Linked DNA regions of Diceros bicornis minor. The protein of the gene in region 1 purifies or fractionates together with the protein of each later gene. This does not show direct contact. Links are inferred from orthologs where the notes say so. Each region holds a gene or a part of one and is shown in the gene's direction. Other genes may lie near its edges.

Evidence for each region. Proteins that work in one complex are often made in the same cells at the same time.
Region 2: the proteins of TXNIP (region 1) and NLRP3 purify together in Homo sapiens (affinity purification with western blotting, with the first as the bait; 4 studies listed by BioGRID). This does not show direct contact. The link is inferred for Diceros bicornis minor from reciprocal best matches to the Homo sapiens genes TXNIP and NLRP3.

The regions. Positions count from the first base shown.
Region 1 is NC_080743.1:53,490,576-53,500,997, reverse strand, and holds TXNIP (thioredoxin-interacting protein), read left to right. Parts: upstream 1-3,722; 5' UTR 3,723-3,953; coding exon 3,954-4,203; intron 4,204-4,725; coding exon 4,726-4,798; intron 4,799-4,919; coding exon 4,920-5,067; intron 5,068-5,267; coding exon 5,268-5,370; intron 5,371-5,507; coding exon 5,508-5,764; intron 5,765-5,865; coding exon 5,866-6,022; intron 6,023-6,134; coding exon 6,135-6,286; intron 6,287-6,417; coding exon 6,418-6,453; 3' UTR 6,454-7,879; downstream 7,880-10,422. UniProt on the Homo sapiens protein: May act as an oxidative stress mediator by inhibiting thioredoxin activity or by limiting its bioavailability.
Region 2 is NC_080740.1:931,835-942,256, forward strand, and holds the start of NLRP3 (NACHT, LRR and PYD domains-containing protein 3), read left to right. Parts: upstream 1-4,787; 5' UTR 4,788-4,841; intron 4,842-6,524; 5' UTR 6,525-6,584; exon of another isoform or gene 6,585-6,751; 5' UTR 6,752-6,795; coding exon 6,796-7,069; intron 7,070-10,174; coding exon 10,175-10,273; intron 10,274-10,422. UniProt on the Homo sapiens protein: Sensor component of the NLRP3 inflammasome, which mediates inflammasome activation in response to defects in membrane integrity, leading to secretion of inflammatory cytokines IL1B and IL18 and pyroptosis.

The DNA.
Region 1 (10,422 bases):
CTGAAGTTAGGCTACTAGATCTCCATTCTGTCCTCAACATAGTAGAAAAGTAGACCCCAACAAATAGGAAACGTGGGCTTCCAGATGAGATATTTTAATAATTAAAGCTAAACATAAAAACAAGAACCCTCACAAAGCATTCTAGAGACAAGAAGTCTAGATTAAGTAGTAGGAATCGTGGGTTTGGAGAGTGGCTCCAGCAGTTACTAGCTGTTTGGCCCAGGGCAAGTCACTTAACTAAAATAAGGGAACTGGTTTTAGGAAAATGACTGCTCGAGTCACCTTTAACTCTAAAATTTTATGAGTCTTGCCCTGAATCCTTTACAGTGAAGATCAAACAAGATATGGTGTGTTAAAGCACCGAAACGCAGGACAACACATTAGAAAGAGTACATACTTTAGATAGACAGACCTGGGTTCAAGATCTTGCTGTAGTGACAAAATCTGTGACCTCAGGCAAATTACTTAACCCTCTGAGCTTGACTTAATCAACCCTGAGTCACAAGGTTATTGTGAGAATTAAATGAAATAATCTAACCATTTTTAAATCCTTTCTGGAACAAGATGACAGATAAATTTTAAAATATCATTGAGATAACTATGTAAAAGACTTTGGTCCATTACAGGGGCTCAATAAATGACAAAAAAGTCACTTTGAACTCTAAGATGCTATACAATTATTAATATATTCTTATTTATCTATGACTTGGAGGCATACACACAGTTGAGCAGTCTCAAATTTCCCACTCTCTTTTCGACCTTTATTCGCCTCTAAACTAATATTCCCTAGGGAAAAATGGGAACTGGCTGATGGATAACGGTAAACGGAAATTTACAGAGTGAAGGTGACAGAAGAGATTAAAAGGACAAAGAAAGGGGTTTGTTTTGCGTTAGGAACTACGAGTCTTTAGAGTTTTAAATGTCTTCAGGCCACAGGTTAAGGAAAAGAGAAATGCAACAGAGTGCTGAGGGTACTTCCCTCCCTGAAAGCTTTGGCTTTACTCAATCAACTCCAGTACAGCAAACAATCACCACTTGGTTTCCTACTGGCACTGGAATTGAAGAGGGTGGGGAAGGAGCAGATAAAGATGACCAAACCTGCAAAACTCCTGGACTTAGCCCTACTTTGTTGTTCCTCCTGGGCCTGCCTTTTTCCCCCCCTGCACCCCACAAGTGCTTGTACACTGTTTTCAGAACAGGAATTCACAAGATTTTTTCTTCCTTCCAATAAGGAACTGAGAAAGAAAAATCGGGACAGATTTTTATCAGCATACTGGGGTATAAGGTGAAAGGTTGTAAACAACTCTGTCCAGGAGGGCTCCATTTCAGAACATGCTTTGGCTATAGGCCTGACAGTCAGCTGCTTGCTGCCAAAGCTAAATAGCTTTTTGGCATTTAAGGGAACCCAGGCACAACACAGAGCAAACAAGTGGTCTCTACTGAGTTCTGCAAAAGGGGAAAGAAAGAAGAAACGGGAGCCCATAAGAGGAACTTACAGCAAAAGAGAATTGTATTAAGATTTTTAAAAACTCAAAAATTCAGCCCTTCATAGATATGCCCAAATAAATATCAGCATTCCCTTTTCTCAAATACATCCTTAATACCACCTTGACCTATGACAACCCAACTCTCCCCCATCCCCTCAAAATTTATGTAGTTACATATCAACACTGTTTAACAATATTGATTCATGTATTTCTTTGTAAACACTGATGTTTCATATTTATGTACACTTTCATACTCATCAAACTAAAGGTCTCCCGGAAGCCACAATTTGAATTTTTAAAATGACTTTAGTGCGAGTCCCACCTTCCCTGCTCCCGATAATTCAATCAATATTGTTGACCGACTGAAAACAACTCAGCCCTTGTCAGTGAACTTTCTAGAACAGGGTGCCACCTCAAACCCACACACCCTAAGGATCAACATGTTCCCCTTTTTGTTCCTGGGGATTGGTGCTGTTTGTGTGTGTTTTCCAACAGTCTTAATGCCTGTTTCTTGAGCTTGCTTAATATTGGGGTTGAGTTGTAACTTGTTAGCCTTACCTTAGCAATCTACTTAGGGTGTACCAGGAAGGAAAAAGGATCCTTAACAGCAATTAATAGCCCTCTTTTTGCTGAGAGAGTAGGATTTCTGTATATTCTAACGCTTCTATTCACTTCCCCATCTCAATCTTGGGGACATTATCTTCCTCTTTCCAGCACAAGAAATGAAGTAATAAGCTCCTGATATCCCAAAACAGACATGGGAGGGAACCAGGAACCAAAGAAAAGGGGGAAGAATCCCAGTATCTCTGCATACAAGTTTTTATTGCATTTATGAATAATTTCTCAGGAGTCAGCTCCTAAGGCATCTCACTGCCAGCTCAGGACCAACCCATCTGACAACCAAACGACAGCAAGAAAGAGAAGTCAGGGTCTCTTTTAGCTTGAACGTACAGTGTTCTCACGACCCTTTTGTCTTCTTTCCTTTCTTACCGATTTTTAAACAACTTAAGAAAAAACTTTTAAAAGATAAGGAAATTCTTCCTTCAAACAGGAATACAGCCATCTCTTCACTGATACTTTGGTTATAAACAAGAGCACCTTCCCGCTCTTAACTAACTTGAAGACTGTGAGGAGTGTGGGCAACAGTTTTAGGGATGTACCTTTGATTTGGTGAGTTGAAGACGAGATGAAGACGACAGAATGGGAAGTAACTCAGGAAGAAAGTGGAAAGAGTGAAGCATCCTTTTTTTTCCCTCTCCTTTCCTGAAGAAGCAGGGAAGGAGTGAGAGAGAATCAGAGCCTCAAGAACACACCTTCCTAAAGAGGTAATGAGGCAACTGGGAGAACACAGTGTTCCCCAACTTTGCAGGTGGAAACTGAAGACATGAGGGGATAAGCAACAGGATGTGAAGACGCCCTTACTATTTCCGTTCCAGAGAACAGAACACAGGGTACGGGAGCTGAGGAACAGCACAGGCACACAGTCCCGGACAAAGGGAGGGAGAAGGCCGACCAGTCCCACATACTCGCTTTCCAATGAGGACAGAAGAGAGATTTAAAATTTGTGACAAATTCTCCTTTCCTTTACAGACAGCAGTTCTGTTTGTTTAATAGAGATGCGGGGCGAGAGAAGGAAAAAGGGGCTCTTCCTGAACAGTAACGCCAGCACTCCCTGTCCTCCACTCCAATCCTTAAGTATTCTTGGGGCTGTGGGATTGTTTTTCACACGACTTGCGACTTCTGAGCCGGAAATAAACGGTCGCCTCTAAATGAAGTGCTCTGGCTAAGGCTCCGCACGAAATTCCCTCATAAGCACATTTCCTTTTACCTCAAAACACCGCTCCCAGCCCAAAATCATCCGCACCCGCCCTTCGACAGCCACGGGCCCTGAATAAATGTTAGGGTCAGCGACACCCCCACCTCCTTCCGGCCGCAGGCAAGCCGCGCCGAAGCCCCTCCACCCCCTCCCCACCCCCTCCTCACCCCCTCCTCCCTGCGAGGCAGCGCGGCATAACAACCTCTTTCCCCCGCGCCAAGAGCACACCGTGTCCACGCGCCACTGCGACCTCGCTGATTGGTTCAGCTACTGGTAAACAAGGACCAGGCAGCCAATGGGAGGGCTGTGCACGAGGGCAGCACGAGCCTCCCGGCCAGCACTCGCGTGGCCCTGCCTGCCTGGGCTACTATATAGAGCAGTTTCCGGCTCTCGATTTAAACTATCCTTCTGTCTCTGTGGCTGGAGTGCTGTTAGTTCTTCCGCCGAGATCCGGCGCTCCCTCCAGCTGTTGGAGGAAAGAAAAGAGAGATCCTATTTTTCTCTTGAAATCCCTTGGCATAGCAAGCAGCTTACATTGTTTGGACATCTTTTCAAAAATTTAGTAGAGAATTGAGTGAAGTAATCTTAATTTATTGCAAAGGGGTTTTGTTTTTCCCCATTTCTAACTCTTGAGCCAACCCAGCCCCATCATGGTGATGTTCAAGAAGATGAAGTCTTTCGAGGTGGTCTTTAACGACCCTGAAAAGGTGTTCGGCAGTGGGGAGAAGGTGGCTGGCCGGGTGATAGTGGAGGTATGTGAAGTCACTCGAGTGAAAGCTGTCAGGATCCTGGCTTGCGGAGTGGCCAAAGTCCTCTGGATGCAAGGATCCCAGCAGTGCAAACAGGCTTTGGAGTACCTGCGCTACGAAGACACGCTTCTGCTGGAAGACCAGCCAGCAGGTGAGTGGCCCAGTTATTTGCTGGAGGGTGACAGCTGACTTGAGACGAGAATTGAAACGAATAAGTGGAGCCTGTACTAAATATTATAAGTTGCTTAGGTTGAGTGGTTTGAATTTTGTGTTACCTTATCTTTTTTAGTTTTAATTTGCAAATCCCCCCACCTCCCCAAAATAAAAGGTTGATTTGTACAATTTCTTACTGGTGCTGTGTTCTGAAGGTGATTCTGAGGGATGTTGCCTTAGCTATTTAAAGATTTTCTGTATGCATAAGTTGCTTATTCTTTGCTTGCTTCCTGTTTGAGATGTTAGTAGATTAACTGTCCTGGTTGAGTCATTCAGTATTGCAGGGCTTTGCAACTTGTTGTCCAACAAAATGCCTCAGAATCTCTCCTATAAGAACATAAGAGATGAAAATGGGGGTACTGCAACACTTTTTGCTTGCTGCCCAAGAATTCCTTATCACACAGATGCGTTTTCAGTGTAACAAGAAACCTAAGGGCTACTTGCTTTTGTCTCCTTTCAGGTGAGAATGAGATGGTGATCATGAGACCTGGAAACATATATGAGTACAAGTTCGGCTTTGAGCTTCCTCAAGGGTAGGTATCAGCTAAATGCATCTTTGGACTTTTCTGTCTCTAAAAATTTTCCCTTCCTTTGAGGAGATCACTTACTGTTCTGGGAGAGCATTTTTGAATTGTTTCCTTTTTCTTGACACAGGCCTCTAGGAACATCCTTCAAAGGAAAGTATGGGTGTGTAGACTACTGGGTGAAGGCTTTTCTTGATCGCCCCAGCCAGCCAACTCAAGAGACAAAGAAAAGCTTTGAAGTGATGGATCTAGTGGATGTCAATACTCCTGATTTAATGGTGAGGTTTAAGATTCTATTCTCCTGGGTCTCAGGGATGATAAGTCAAATGTCTTGGGCATTAGATTGAAGCACCTCAGGGAATCAAATCCTGTCATGAAGGTGGGAGGGAAAGCTGCCTACTCTAGGTAAGGAGTGGAAAGGAAAAAGAGAAAGGATCTCTAGAAATTCTCAAAATGTCTGTCCCACCCTTCTACATAGGCACCTGTGTCTGCTAAAAAGGAAAAGAAAGTTTCCTGCATGTTCATTCCTGATGGACGAGTGTCTGTCTCTGCCAGAATTGACAGAAAAGGATTTTGTGAAGGTAAAAACCTAGGGCTTAAAATGGTAGACTGATAAAACAGGAATGTGGGCTTGGAGGTGGGGTGAGGACAGGGGACAGGAACAGAAGAAAAGTCATTAGCCATACTGAGCGTTAGTTTTCATCTTTGTCATTGCTAGGTGATGAGATTGCCATCCATGCTGACTTTGAGAATACATGTTCCCGCATTGTGATCCCCAAAGCTGCCATTGTAGCCCGCCATACTTACCTTGCCAATGGCCAAACCAAGGTATTGACACAGAAGTTGTCATCAGTCAGAGGCAATCATATTATCTCAGGAACCTGTGCGTCATGGCGTGGCAAGAGCCTTCGGGTGCAGAAGATCAGGCCTTCTATCCTGGGCTGCAACATCCTTCGAGTTGAATATTCCTTACTGGTGAGTGAGTGGGGTTGGAGAGAGAAATTGTTCATCTGTCAAAATAACAGTGGTGTTTTCTCCAGACCTCTAGTCTAACAAAGTGCCATCTTTTTTTCTAGATCTATGTTAGTGTCCCTGGCTCCAAGAAGGTCATTCTTGACCTGCCCCTGGTAATTGGCAGCAGGTCAGGTCTGAGCAGCCGGTCGTCCAGCATGGCCAGCCAAACCAGCTCTGAGATGAGTTGGGTAGATCTCAACATCCCTGATACCCCAGAAGGTGAGCCAGACCTACGGTCTTTTCTTCTCCTCTGGCCTGTTTGGGTTTGTAAAATTGTGGTGGTCAGGTATTTCTTGGCCATGCTTCTTATCCCCATACTTTCTCTCTCTAGCTCCTCCTTGCTATATGGATATCATTCCTGAAGATCACCGATTGGAGAGCCCCACCACTCCTCTGCTAGATGACACAGATAGTTGCCAAGACAGCCCTATTTTTATGTATGCTCCTGAGTTCCAGTTCATGCCACCACCTACTTATACTGAGGTGAGAATTGTCATTTTACCACTATATTTGTCCGAAGCCTTCTATAGGAAGTTGAATTGAAGGAATTGCTAAACTGAGTTGTTGTTTTCCTTCTTACCCAAACTAAAATGGTCTTTTCTTTTTCCTCTCAGGTGGATCCTTGCATTCTAAACAACAATGTGCAGTGAGCATATGGAAGAAAAGAAGCAGCTGTACCTACTTGTTTCTTTCTGCCTCGCTTCCTGGACTCTTATTTTTTCAGAGACTCAGTGGTCTCTACAGTGGGCTATAGGTCCACTCTAGCCTCTGACTCCCCAATGTTAGGAGGTGATCAGCAGGCAATCTCCTGGGCCTTAAAGGGTGCACACTCGTTCTCAGCCAACAAGATGTTGTGATACAGGAGTGTTTGCTGGATGGGTTTAAAATCACACTAGACAAACTCAGGCCCATCCTGTTTTCTCAGATCTTGAAAATTGCGGCATTTTCAGTAGTTTTGAATAAGGGGTAGAAATAGCCTCCTGGCATGGTTTTCCCAAGGTTTTTTGAAGGGGATTACAGATGGTTATAACAGTATTAGATCTTGAACTTATGTGCCATGTGGAGCAGAGCTAATTTAGCAAACTAGGAAAATGAAAAAAAAGTGATGGCCAAAATTTTGGGAAAAGGAGATTCTTAAAATCATTGTTGCCCTTTGTTTCTATACTTATAGAAAAAAAAAAGAAATACTCTCCAGAGCTGATTTGGTTTGGACTTTGGAGAGAGCTTCCCATGTGAATTAAAGGGAAGAAAGGTTATCTTTGCTTAAAATGTACTTCAATTTGGCTTAAAGCAGTAGTAACTGTGCCCCGTGAAAGGTCTTAAAAGCCATTTTTAGAGCCGATTGCACTGTGTTCTCCTGTTGCGAACATTTTTCATGTGGGAGAATGTTTTTCTTTTCATGTGACTCCTTGGAATTGATTCTGAGGTGATGTTCTTAGCACTTTAGTTCCTGTCAAACTTTTTGGGTTTTTTTCCCCTCATACGTAAGCTAAAACTGGTCTACTACGTCTCTAGGGGTAAGCACAATGACAAAAAAAAAGTGTTACTCTATTTTTGAGACTTCGTCCCAGTGTACAGAATTCTGTTCTGACACTATAATTATATGAGAAGAGTTGCTGCTATCATCCTTGCCCACTGTGACTTCTCCAAACTCAAGGAGGCACTCTAGATCAAGATGCCCCAACACGATGAACTCTAGATCAAGATGCCCCAACACAGTGATCAGAGCCTCCAGACATTGCCATGAGAAACTAGAGGGCAGGTCTTCACAAAAGCCCCCAGGGCTCCCTTCCTGCCCACTATTAGAGACAGGGATGTTGACAGCCCCTCTCTCACTGCAGCCGCTAGCACTTGGTCACCCTCAGCCTTAGCACTTTGTTCACTGTCCTGTGTCAGAGCACTCCGCTCTCCACCCTTTTTTTGAGAAAGTATGTGGACTGAAGGTGGTTTTATTTTTTTTAATTGTGTATCTTTTTGTATGATAAAAACTATATTTTGTACTTAACCAGATATATTTTCACCCCAGGTGGGGGTATTCTTTGTAAAAAAATAAAAAAAGTTTTTTTAATGGCAAAACTGCTTGTTTTCTTTTCTGTGAAATGGTGTTGGAGAAATTATTAGAAAGTGTGCCTAAAGGAGCTTTACCCCTACTTGACCAATTCATGTTCTTGAAAACTCGGTAGAGAACATTCCTTGTTGACTAATGAATATAGTCAGAGTGGAGGTTGGAGGGGTGAAGAGGGAAGGAATTTGAAGTACGTTTAGTCTTTTCTTCCAATTCACTAAAAACCTATAGTGGGGCGGGGGAGTGGGCAGGGCCGGCCCGGTGGCATAGTGGTTATGTTCTTGCGCTCGGCTTCGGTGGCCCAGGGTTCACAGGTTCTGATCACCGGCAAGGACAGAGGCACCAACTACCAAACCATGCTGTGGGGGCGTCCCGTATAAAGTAAACGAAGATGGGCACAGATGTTAGCCCAGAGCCAATCTTCCTCAGCAGAGAAGAGAAGGATTGGCAACAGATGTTAGCTGAGAGCTAATCTTCCTCTCACACACACAAAAAACTGCAATGGGATCTTCTGGTGGTCTAAGCTAGTTTTCTACATCCATCACTTATCATTACTAAATTGTTTGAAGTTTGGAGTGTGTAAGGTTTTTTTTTTTAAGGAGCTCTTGAAATACAAGGAAATGAGGTTTCTGGGGAGATTTGGAAGGAAAGGGTTTTGGTTCCATATTTTATAATTTGGTTTTATCATAAGAGTTTTTTCCTAGTGTAAACTTTGTTTATATGCAATAAGACATAAGATGATAATTATTCAGGTGTTATGGATTTAGAGTTACAAGTATTAAATTCTTTGAAGGCAATCTATCATTTTTTATCTTAGCAGTTCTGAGCACAGTTCCTATCCAAGCACATAATCATACTCAGTAAAGGTTTGCTAAATATCCAACCCCACCCTCATCTCTGAGGATATGCTTTAGCAGTTTGTATTTCTTCCTTGTAGAGTAATAACAATAGATTGATACCACAATTCCCTCTCTAATTGAAATGATTTTTATTATTCCTAAAAGAGTGACTAGGATGAGAAACCCTGAGATGGCAGAAGTTAATATACTTTCTGATTTCTGGCTCATTTAAACCTTTGCAGACAGATCTAGTTCTGGCCCTTATTTGATGGGGTCAGTTTTCCTATGGACCTCCACTCCAAACAGGCTCTTGGGAAGTTCATAAAATCAACATGAATTGAACAGAAAGATTGAAAAGCTTCTTTTCCGCTTCAATCTTCCCTTTGTTGTGTCTTTTCCTTCATTCTCAGTAGCTTGTTTGCTCTCTCCTGGTTCTCCTTTTTTCTTTCTCAAGGTGTCAGTCTCTAGATCTCAGTTGCCATGGTGACTCTTACCTCTGCCGTCTCCTTTTCTTCCTACCTGTTCAAGAATTTAGTAGCTCCTCCCTTTTTTGAATCTGTGACCAGGAAACTAGGTCAAAGTTGATGGAAAAGTTTTTTCTGCAGCTTGTTTTCCAGGGACTGGAAGGGTGGAGCAAGGACAAGAGCAGGCCAGAGGGAAGGACAAAGGGATGGAGAGACCATGGAACACATAAGCCTGGCCGTTTGTGTACACAGCCTGGCTACTGGTACGAGATATGAGAAGGAGATGGTGTGGAAAGAGTAGATAAACTTCACCCAAGGTCTGTTAGAGATTTGATCCTCAAGGGGCCAGAACATGTGCAGCCCCTCCTGATACCCTAATACCTCATATTGAGCAGTGTCCAATAGAACTTTCTATGATGATGGAAATGTTCTATATTTGCACTAATACAGTAGCCAGTAGCCACTAGCCACACATAGCTATTGAGCTCTGAAATGTGGCTACTGTGACTGATGAACTGAATTTTTATTTCTAATTTAATTAAATTTACCTAGCTTCATGTGACTAGTGACTACCATATTGAACAGCACAGCGAAATCTGAGGAAGGAAGTGAGCAGCTATAGCTATTCACTCAGAGGAAACTCATCCGTCCCTTAGAGCACAAAAGGCTCCACTCAACTTTCTTTTGCCTTCTAGACGCAACTTCTACCTCACCCCAGGACATTTTCTGCATGTAGGCTCGCTTAAGTACACTTCCCTAGGTACTGGCCCAGCTGTTTCTCCACTTAAGTGGGTTGATATTTTGGGTTTTCCTTTCTCATGCTCTTCTCATATGCCTTTTAAGGTTTAAAGAGTTATAACCTACATGTACAGCCATTAGAGAAGATCTAGTTCTTAGTGTCATTTATTCATTAGGTCCAATCTGGTATAGGAATATCTGAGAGAAGACAGAAAGAAAACTATCTAAAGAGATAAAAGAGCTAGAGAAAGTAAAATTAACAAGAAAAGGGCAGCTACTTCCACAACCAGGGTCCTTGGCTACTATGATACCTCTGAACAGGCTGGAAACACAAGGATGTAACTCGGGTTGAGGCATTGGGAGGGAAAAGTGTGGAGGGAGGATTTAACCAGGCCTCTGGTCAACAAAAACCCATCACATAGGAACTGAGGAGTATGAAGCGGGGTGAAGGAGCGGCTTTTGCCCAGTTCTTTCAACAGCATACAGACTCCTTCCTAGCCTTCTTTCCTTGGA
Region 2 (10,422 bases), on another chromosome or scaffold:
GGGAGGGGGGGGAGCAGGTCCCCCAGGTGGTCACATGTGGCTGGTGGCTGCTGTGTTGGTCAGTGCAGGCTGGACAGACAGAAAGTGGCAGCGATCTCTGCAGCCTAAGAGAACCTTTGTGCCAGGGCAGGACTGTGCCTGGTCCCCACGAATGTAGGAGAAGGGAGACCACCTCCCCACAGCCCCGGGGGGATCAGCTCTCATGCTGTACCCGGTTTGGGGCTCGGGGCCGGTAGCTGGGTGAGAGTCTGGAGGCGTTCGGGCCCAGTGACCCATGCAGGATTCAGGGGTCATGCACTGTTGTCGCTGCCTGGCTTTGGGTTTTCCAATAGAACTTCCAATAGACTTGAAATGTTTGGATCTCTGTCCCTACACTTTGTCCCTACACTTTCACGTCTCATGTCTGGATTTTGGGGTTTAGAGCACCCTTCTGGCACCTCCTCACTCTGCTCCCACCCGGGAACCGGGGCTTGTCCAGGTCCCTGGCACTTGCAGGTGAGTGAGGGAAGCATGTCCGCCCTGCCCTGTTTCTTTCCCCTCACCCTTCAGTGGCTATTGTCTTTGTAGCTTACACAGTCATTGGCTTCCCAAGGTGGACTTTTTCTTGGTGTCTTGTCGTTTATTCAGTTAGCAAGAATTTGTGGCAAATTTGGGTTTGGAACCCAGTGCCCTGAGTTCCCCTCTGCTTTACAAAAGGAGCTTCAGGAGTTGATGGCGTAATTGTTTTTCTTCAGGGCACAATTTTAAATTGTCATTCTCCAGGCTTCTTCGGAGGGGGCGTGTGTGAAGGGTAGTCATTATGTTGTACTTTTGTGACCTTCCTTGTTTATTATTTGTGTTGATTTTGATATTCTCACATCTGGAACAGAATTTTTTTCAGAGTGCAGAATAACACACAAAACATGGTGATTTTTTTCTTGACTAGTTTTCTTTTTTTTGTGTGTGTGAGGAAGATCAGCCCTGAGCTAACATCCATGCTAATCCTCCTCTTTTTTTTTTTTTTGCTGAGGAAGACTGGCTCTGAGCTAACATCTATTGCCAATCCTCCTCCTTTTTTTTTTTGCCCCCAAAACCCCAGTAGATAGTTGTATGTCATAGCTGCACATCCTTCTAGTTGCTGTATGTGGGACTCGGCCTCAGCATGGCTGGAGAAGCGGTGCATCAGTGCACGCCCAGGATCTGAACCCGGGCGGCCAGTAGCGGAGCGCGTGCACTTAACCGCTAAACCACGGGGCCGGCCCTTGCCTAGTTTTCATACATGATTAGAGTATCTTTCCAAAATTCTGGAGCAGTGTCTGAACACTGCTTTCTGCTTTGCTCGTTCTGTCAGATATTGTTTGATCTGAGCCTCCCAGCCAAGGGAATGGGCCAGCTGAGAGATGCAGCTGGGTGTCAGGGTGGTGACAGCCGGGCACCACGTCTCTCTCCCGAGCCTCCCTGTGACTGATGCCCTTAAATAATTGCAACCAGCTCAGCTGCATGAATTTTTCAAAACATTGCTTAAATTCCCTAGTTCACTACAAACCTATTAGAATGGCTTAAACAAATAAAACACAACTGATTCAGCCACGTGCTTGGGGAGGAGGCTCGGGGACTGGAGACGGGTGCATTGCTGGTGGGAACGCAAAATGGTGTGGCCACCTTGGCAGTTTGGCAGTTTCTTAAGAAGGTAAACATACTCTTCCCACATGATCCAGCCATTCCACTTTTAGGTATTTACCCAAGAGAAGTGAAAACATACTCACACAAAAATCTGTTTTTGAATGTTTATAGTGGCTTTACTGACAATTGCCAAAAACTGGAAACAGCCCAAATGTGTGGGCGTGGATAAACACCCTGTGATGCGTCCACTCCACTGGCTGACCCAGCAACAAGAAGGAACAAAGCCCACCGACAAAACAGGCACGCAGCTCATGTGCGCCCCAAGGGGTGAACGGACCTGAGGACAAGCTGCGGCCGCAGGATCCCGCTTACGTGACTCCCTGGAAAAGGCACGACTTTAGTGGCAGAGCGCTGGCCCGTGGATGCCAGCATCTGGGTGGGGACAGAGGCTGATCGTGCGGTGGCACAAGGAGGACTTTGGGGGCGATGGAGGTGTTCTGCGTCTCGACTGTGGCGGTGGCTGCGTGGCGACCGTGCTTGTGAGAACTCACAGACCTGCGCGTGAGAAAGGCTGGATGTGTACCTCAAGTAAATGACCTGCCTCACTCAGCTCAGCCGAATACAAACAGCAACAGTCCGCAGTCAACAGCTCTAAAGCATAAACTACAGGTCAGTGCAGCCTAACCGTTCGCTGTATTAGAAAGGAATGATATGTATGCCAGACAGGAAAGTGTGAAAAGTCTGTAATTGTTCTAGGAGGGAAAAAACATTCACTATTAGTTGTTTTGATCATTTGGAAATGAAAAATTAAATCTCATCTTAGAAGCCAGAAGCCTCAAGTTCAAGCATCAATCGCACCACTGACCACTTGCCTGGATCTTTAAAAAGACCTAATTCTGACCGACGACTGTTTCTTCGTCTGTAAAACGACATTCAGCCGTGCCTGCCGCCTTCACGGGACGTTCTGATGATCATTCAAACGTGAGGATTTCTTTCAGGGCCTACTCTAGAGACGCAGTGTTAGTTGGTTTAACTTATTGTTTAATTTATTTCTTTACTCTTATGAGTAATGCACGTTCATGGCAAAAAAATAAAAATTCAAATGCTGTAGAAAGATGTAAAGGAAAAAGGAAAAGATCCCTCATCCTCAAAAAAAGAGAAAGAATCCCTGGTTCAGCCAATGAGCTCCTTTCCTTTTGAGCCTGACTGATCTGCTCTCTGCGGGCTCAGCACCTGGCGTCCCGGCTGCTCCTGCGTGTACCCTGCCCCTGACGACCTTGAGACTCAGCTCTGCTGTCCCACCCTGGCTTCAGGAGGAGCCACTGCCTCTCTTCCCCCCTTGGAGCATTCTGCATGTAATTCTCTGACAACAGTAGTACCAGGACCAACCACCAACACCAGCTTCTCTGTTCGAAAGGCCCCATATCCATCTATTTGCTCAGTCCTTATGACAACTCTTTACAATAGGCGCCATTGTTGTCCCCACTTTACAGATAAGGAAACCGAGGCACAGAGAGACAGTCACTTGCCAACGCCCCTCTGCTGGACTTGGACACCTGTCCTTCTCGCTCCAGGGTTCCTGCACTTGCCTGGGGTGCTGGGCGCCTCTTGCCTTCCAAACTCTGTAGAAGTCATGCTATTGTCAGAGCATGGTCCTGCAGCCACTGCCAGAGCGAGGAAAGCAGATCTGGTGCTTCTCTCTCCTCCAGCTCCTCCTGGGGAAGGCAAGGTGCTTTTCAGCCTTGTGTTTGTGCCTGGAACACACCAGGTACTCTACAGGTGTCGGTTGAGCCAGTGAGGCCGTGAGTCAGGGAGTAGAGTTTGTGCCTACCCAAAGGAATTGAAATCAGGACCCCGAAGAGCTGTCTGCACACCCATGTCCTCTGCAGCGTTATTCACGATAGCCAAGGTATGGAAACGACCTGAGTGTCCATCAGTGGAAGCACGGATAAAGACGATGTGGTATATACACATACACAATGGGATATTATCCAGCCATGAGAAACAAGGACATCCTGCCATTTGCGACGACATGGATGGACCTTGAGGACATTATGTAAAGTGAACTAAGACAAATTCTGTACGATATCAGTTATATGAAGAATCTAAAATAGTCATACCCATAGAAACAGAGAGTAGAATGGCAGTTGCCAGGGCTGGGGAGAGGGAGGAAGGGGAGCCATTAGTCAAAGGGCACGAAGTTTCCTTCACACAGGATGACTAAGTCCTGGAGAGCGACTGTCCGGCACAGAGCCTGTCGTCCATAACACTGTCCTGTTCACGTAATGTCCACTAAAAGGGTAGGTCTCACGTTAAGTGTTCTTACCACACACACAACATCATCATAATAATAACGATAACAACAATAATAACAAAGGGGTGGGTGGGAGGAAAGTCTGGGTGGTGATAAACGTGTTTATGGCCTTCACGGTGGTGATGGGTTCACGGTGGTGATGGGTTCATAGGTGCATACTTACCTCTATAAGATGGTTTAAAAAAAAAATAAGAGATGGGGCCAGCCTGGTGGCATAGCAGTTAACTTTGTGTGCTCCGCTTCAGCAGCCTGGGGTTCGCAGGTTCGGATCCTGGGTGTGGACCAACACACCACTTGTCAAGCCATGCTGTGGCGGCGTCCCATATAGAGTAGAGGAAGATGGGCACAGATGTTAGCCCAGGGCCAGTCTTCCTCAGCAAAAAAAAAAAAGAGAGAGACAGAGAGAGGATTGGCAAGAGATGTTAGCTCAGGGCTAATCATCCTCACAAAAAAAATAAATAAATAAGAGGTGATGAGAGCATCTGTACCTCCTGCTGACCCCTCCACGTGACGCATGAAAGGGCATGGGCTCCGTGCTTGGACGCTGGGCCAAGCTCTCGCTCTACTTCCCGCCCTGGGGGATCCCCCGTTGCACTCTCTCTTCTGTCACTACCACGCTCACATGGCTGCTGTGAGAGTGAGAGGGAACACCCCTCAAGCACTGACCGAGTTTCCCCCACTCCCTGCCCTGACGGCCACCAAGCAGAGGCCAGACTTCTCCAGCCACCACCAGGCTCAACTTTGAAAACACTGTGCATTCGGTTTGGAAAACCCGGAGCTGTGTGTCACCCTCAGTCTCTGCCTCGGCCTGTGATGCAAGCGCGTTCAGTCCACACTGAGACCACATCCTTCCTGCCCCTGCTGGGCTGTGACCGCTATAAATTCATCAAGTTTCCTTTCCGGCTGTTCCTGAGACCACATCTGGGTGAGTCCAGCTCCACGGAGCAGGATGACGGAAAGGGCCGGGGAATAATGGGGAGGGGTGTCGAGGGCCAGACTCGCCTTGGTTAACGGACTTGGGATTTCTTCTGCCAGCCTCCAAGTCTGTCCTCCAACAATGATTCTGGAATGTTCTTTTATGTTTATCATTTGGACTCTATGTGTGCAAGTGTTGGGGGGGTGCCGAGGACACGGGCAGCAACCACGGCTTACCCCATGACTCCAGCATTCCACCAGGGAGCGGGTGGGTGAGACGTGTGTGGGGAAATGAGGCAAAGGCCCAGAGGGGTAAGCGTCAGGGCAGAGTGCACTGGGGTTAAGGTCAGGGGAGCACAGAGAGGCGGAGTCCTGCTGTGGATGAGAGATTGATGGAGCAGGACCTGGGAGGGTCTGCAGAGCTGGTGGATCTGTCTGGAGACCCCTCGACCCCCCACCAAATACATTAGGGGGTAGACTTGGGGTTGTGCGAGGCCAGGAGTGGAGCGGCACGAGTGGCGATAGGAGAAGGAGAGATGAGTGTGGTTGAGGCGTCTCAAACGTCAGACCGTGGTCGTTATAAATTCCGCTTTGCTCCACTGCTTCACAGCGCCCCTGCCTCCTGTTAGCATCATCGGTGGCTTTGGCTGATGTGCTTTTCCAAATTCAGGAATACGAAGCACTCAAGGCCAAACAAATCCAGCGTGTTCATCTGTCCAAAACCAGTTGAAGTGGCAGACTGAAAGACACAGCAGCTTTCCACTCTCTGGGGAACTTGAAGTCCGGTTAGGAAAATGGAGTGGGGGACGCCACAGTGAGAAGCTGTGTGTGATAAACGCTTTCCTTTTAATGGTATATTCTATTGTCTTTGATCACTTTTGTTTCTATCTGACTACGATACACAGTTAAGTGGTGGAAGAAATGGTCTCCTATCTTTTCAGGCTGTGAAAAGTGCAGGGGCAGCGGCGTGGGCTCAGAAACGGATGACCCTGGTCTAAATCCTGGCTTCGCCCCTTCCTGGCTGCGAAACTCTGGGCAATTCTCTGAGCGTCTCTAAGACAGTCTCTACTTCCATAAAGCGGAGCTAGGAATAGAGGCACCTCGTAGGGCTTTGGGAGGTTAGATGAGGAAAAGCATCAGTGCAGTGCCCAGCCCACGAGAAGCTCTCCGTAAATGTCCTTTCTAATACCTATCACAATTACAGATTTTACCAGGAGACATTAAAGAGGGATATGTTTCCACTCTTCCCCCTACGCGCCCCAAGCCCCGTCTCATTTCTGTTTCCGTCAATCAGTGGATTGATAGAAGAGCAGTCGCAGAGCAGCCCCTCCTCCGCCTGCCTCAATGTTCTCCCTCTGTCTCTAGCCGTGCACTGCTCTGCTATCACCACAGTCATTCCCTGGCCTCCTTCTTTCATCCCCCATCCATCTTTCCTCGGGTCAAAACAGAAACAAGGAAGCAGAGTCTTTCAATTGGAAGGAACTTAAAGGCCATCCTTCCCACTCCGTGATTTTACAGACTTGGAAACTGAGGTGAGGGACAGTGAAGAGCTTGTCAGAGGTCATAGCCCAGTAACCAGTGGGACCAGGTGCCCCCGGCCATATGTCGAGGTGGCGCCGTGAAGCAGTGCGGGCTTCCATCATGCTGTTAATGCGGTCCAGTCTGTGGTTTTAATTATTGTTTCTCTCCACAGGGAAACTTTCTTCCATGGCTCAGGACACAGTCCTGGGCAGAGCCGGCAGGAAAGTTTCTGGTAAGTATTTGGCTCACATTTCAAAACCAAAGATGGCGACTTGTTACAGCCCAGTGATGTTTCCTCCTTGCAGTCTTCTGGGTTTTTGATAGTTTAGTTCTCTTCAGGGTGGACTTTTAAAAACACGTTCCTCACCCATATGCTGTTTTCACCACCGGACTTCCCAGTGTGGACGTATGCCCAAGCTGCCTGACCAGGGCTGCAGGAGAGCATGGCAGGCGTCCGCTGCAAGCTGGCGCGCTACCTGGAGGACCTGGAGGACGCAGACCTGAAGAAATTCAAGATGCACTTGGAAGACTATCCTCCTCAGAAGGGCACCCCGCTCCCTCGGGGTCAAACAGAGAAAGCAGATCCTGTGGATCTCGCCACCCTGATGATTGACTTCAACGGGCAGGAGAAGGCGTGGGCCATGGCAGTGTGGATTTTTGCTGCGATCAACAGGAGAGACCTCCACGAGAAAGCTAAGAGGGATGAGCCAGAGTGGGGTGAGTGGAAACAAGAAGGTATTTTTAAAATAGTGATAAAATAGATGTAGCTTAAAATTTACCGTATTTAAGTGTATGATTCAGTAGTGCTAAGCACATTCACGTTGTTGTGCAATCAATCTCCAGAACTCTTTTTCATCTTGCAAAACTCCACACCCATTAAGCAACAATTCCTCATTCGCCTCTCCCCTCAGCCCCTGGCAAACACCACTTTCTGTCTCTATGAATTTGATCATTCCGCAGACTTCTTATAAATGGAATCATAAAGTACTTGTCTTTTTCTGTCTGGCTTATTTCACTTAGTATAATATCCTCAGGCTTCATCTATGTTGTCACATGTGACAGGATTTCATTCCTTTTTAAGGCTGAATAATATTCCATGGTATGTATGTAGCACATTTTGTTATCCATCAATGGACATTCAGACTGCTTCTAGCTTTTGATTATGGTGAACAATGCTGCTATGAACATGGGTGTACAAATCTCTTTGAGACCTTGCTTTCATTTCCTTTGGGTATATTCCCAGAAGTAGAATTACTGGATTATATGGTAATTCTATGTTTCATAATATTTTCCATAGTGGCTCCACCATTTCACATTCCCACCCACAGTGTACACCCAAGGGTTCTAACTTCTCCACATCCTCGCCAACAAGTATGTTACGGGGTTTTTTTTTGGATAGTAGCCATCGTATGGGGTGTGAGATGGTATCTCATTGTGGTTTTGATTTGCATTTCCCTGATGACTAGTGACATCGAGTGTCTTTTCATGTTCTTGTTGGCCGTCTGTTTACCTTTGGAGAAATGTCTATTCAAGTCCTTTTCCCATGTTTTAATTGGGTTTTGTTGTTATTGCTGTTGACTCGTAGGAGTTCTTCACATATCCTGGATATGAACCTCTTATCAGATGTATGATCTGCAAATATTTTCTCCCATTTCGTGGGGTCCTTTTCACTCTGTTGATAGTTTCCTTTAATGTGTCAAAGCTAGTATGTTTGGTGTTTTTTTGTTTTTTGTTTTTGTGAGGAAGATCAGCCCTGAGCCAACATCTGCCAATCCTCCTCTTTTTGCTGAGGAAGACTGGCCCTGGGCTAAAATCCGTGCCCATCTTCCTCCCCTTTATGTAGGACACCGCCACAGCATGGCCTGACAAGCGGTGCGTTGGTGCGTGCCCGGATCTGAACCCTGGTCGCCAGCAGTGGAGTGCGCACAGTTAACCGCTACGCCACGGGGCCAGCCCAGTATGTTTGTTTTTTAATCAATTCTTTTATTATCTTGGCTTCATCCTCTCTCTTCTTCTCATGACGGTACTATGAGAAGATGGAGGAAAGCACTTTGCTTTTTTCTAGTTCCTTTAAAACCCCACGTCAGGGCTCATCTACCCCTAGGAACCTCCCCTGTTTAGCTTCACTTTATCTGAATCTCTCATCCAGCTCCTCATGTGTCTGTCTGCACAGCCAGCAAGCTTGAGTGTCTGCTTCCCATGGCTCAGGGGGCCAGCTCTCACCTCACAGAAAAGCCTTTCCTGTGGCCATGACTTTGGGCACTGGAATGGTGAAAGAAATTTCCTGCATCCTGTGGGCATGCTCGGGGTCACGCTCTTTCTTTTTTTTTTTTTTTTAAATTTATTTATTTAGTGTGTTTGTGCGTGTGTGAGGAAGATCAGCCCTGAGCTAACATCCACGCCAATCCTCCTCTTTTTGCTGAGGAAGACTGGCCCTGAGCTAACATCCGTGCCGATCTTCCTCCACTTTATGTGGGACGCCACCACAGCATGGCCGGAGAAGCGGTGCCTCGGTGCGCGCCCGGGATCCGAACCCAGGCCGCCAGGAGCGGAGCGCGCGCACTTAACCGCTACGCCACGGGACCGGCCCCAACACGCTCTTCCTTAAGCTTGGTGTTCTGAGCAAGGGAGGGGCACAAGGAAGGACTCAGAAGGATCTAGAACCTCAAGGATGATGATGTTGAGCTGGTGGGAAGGAGGAGTAAAAGTGCTTGGTAGCTGGGGAGAAGCATGATGAGGCGGGAAGGCAACGTGGGTATGAAGAAGGGGAGAAAAATGCCCAGGACCCGAGGCAGGGGCGCACGGCAGTGGGGTGCTCTGGAGAAACTGCTGTAATAGTACAACCATAACTGCGTCAGCGCCTGCTACTCACCAACCACAGTCAAGGGTGACGGTTGTGGTTGCAGAAGTCGTTTGCAGGCAGTTTCGTGGATTTTGTTCATTCCTCACACAAACCCCATGAGGCCGGCACTTTCAGATGAACTTTTGCCTTCACTGTGTAAGTGCAGCAAGCCATTTTGTTTTGTGATTGGGTTACCAATACCATTTGCCCGCAGAATAAGTAGACACCTACCAGGAGTCCTTTATGTCGTTCTTGGTCTCCTGCCCTCCTCAGGTTCTCTGCCCATGTGTTTCCCCTGTGCCAACTCTTGTCCTACCATGCCTAAATTTCTCCTGTGGACGCCTCTTTGGAATATGTGATTTCGTGATTGTTTACATCTGTGATGCTCAACTGTGGATGCATGTTGGAGCTTTTAAAACTTAGTGGTGCCTGGGCCCCACCTCTTAAAGCTTCTTAATGTCAGCCAGGATTCTGAACCGCTGAGTTAGACACAGATTCTCACTTTGGGAGACCCAGAATGTGGGTAAGATGAATTCCAGGCGTTTGAGGTCAGGGAAGGATGCTCCCGCTGGCCCGTGGCCATCTTGGGGATATTGCAGAGCGTGGGGAGGGCCTCAAAACCAGAACCCCAGCAGGGTGGGGTGGTGAGGGGAGTCTCCCAAAGACAAAGGAGGTGAGGGAAGCCTTGCCTGCCAGTGATTTCCAGGCCTGGGGGAGCGATTCCTCAACTTGATAAGAGGGGCCACAATGCTGGCTGGGTGGGTGACATCCACTGCTTTGAAATTAGGATGGCAGGGACACCCTCAGCTGGTGTTCACCTGCCCTCCTGTCAGCCACAGCTCTGAGCCGTGTGCTGGTTGGGAGGGGTCCAGCCAGGAGCTCTGACCTGTGCCCGGTGTTGGGTATTGGGTCTCAATCACATCACCTTAGTCAGGAGTCCTGGGTTTTGACATTTTGTATCTTTTTCCTTTTATTTTCAGATCATTCGCATGTGATATGCCAAGAAGAAAGTGTTGAAGAGGAATGGATAGGTTTACTGGGGTACCTCTCCAGAATCTCTATTTGTAAAAAAAAGAAAGGTAAGCCATGAGGGTGGGAGTTCCAGTTGGGTTTGGAGACCCAGTTTGGGAGGCACTGGGGAGCTGGGGAGCTTGGTCAGCCTGCACGCTCCTGCTTCTCAGGATACAGAGGCCCATCTCAGGACATCCACGACAGCTGAAGGAAGGGC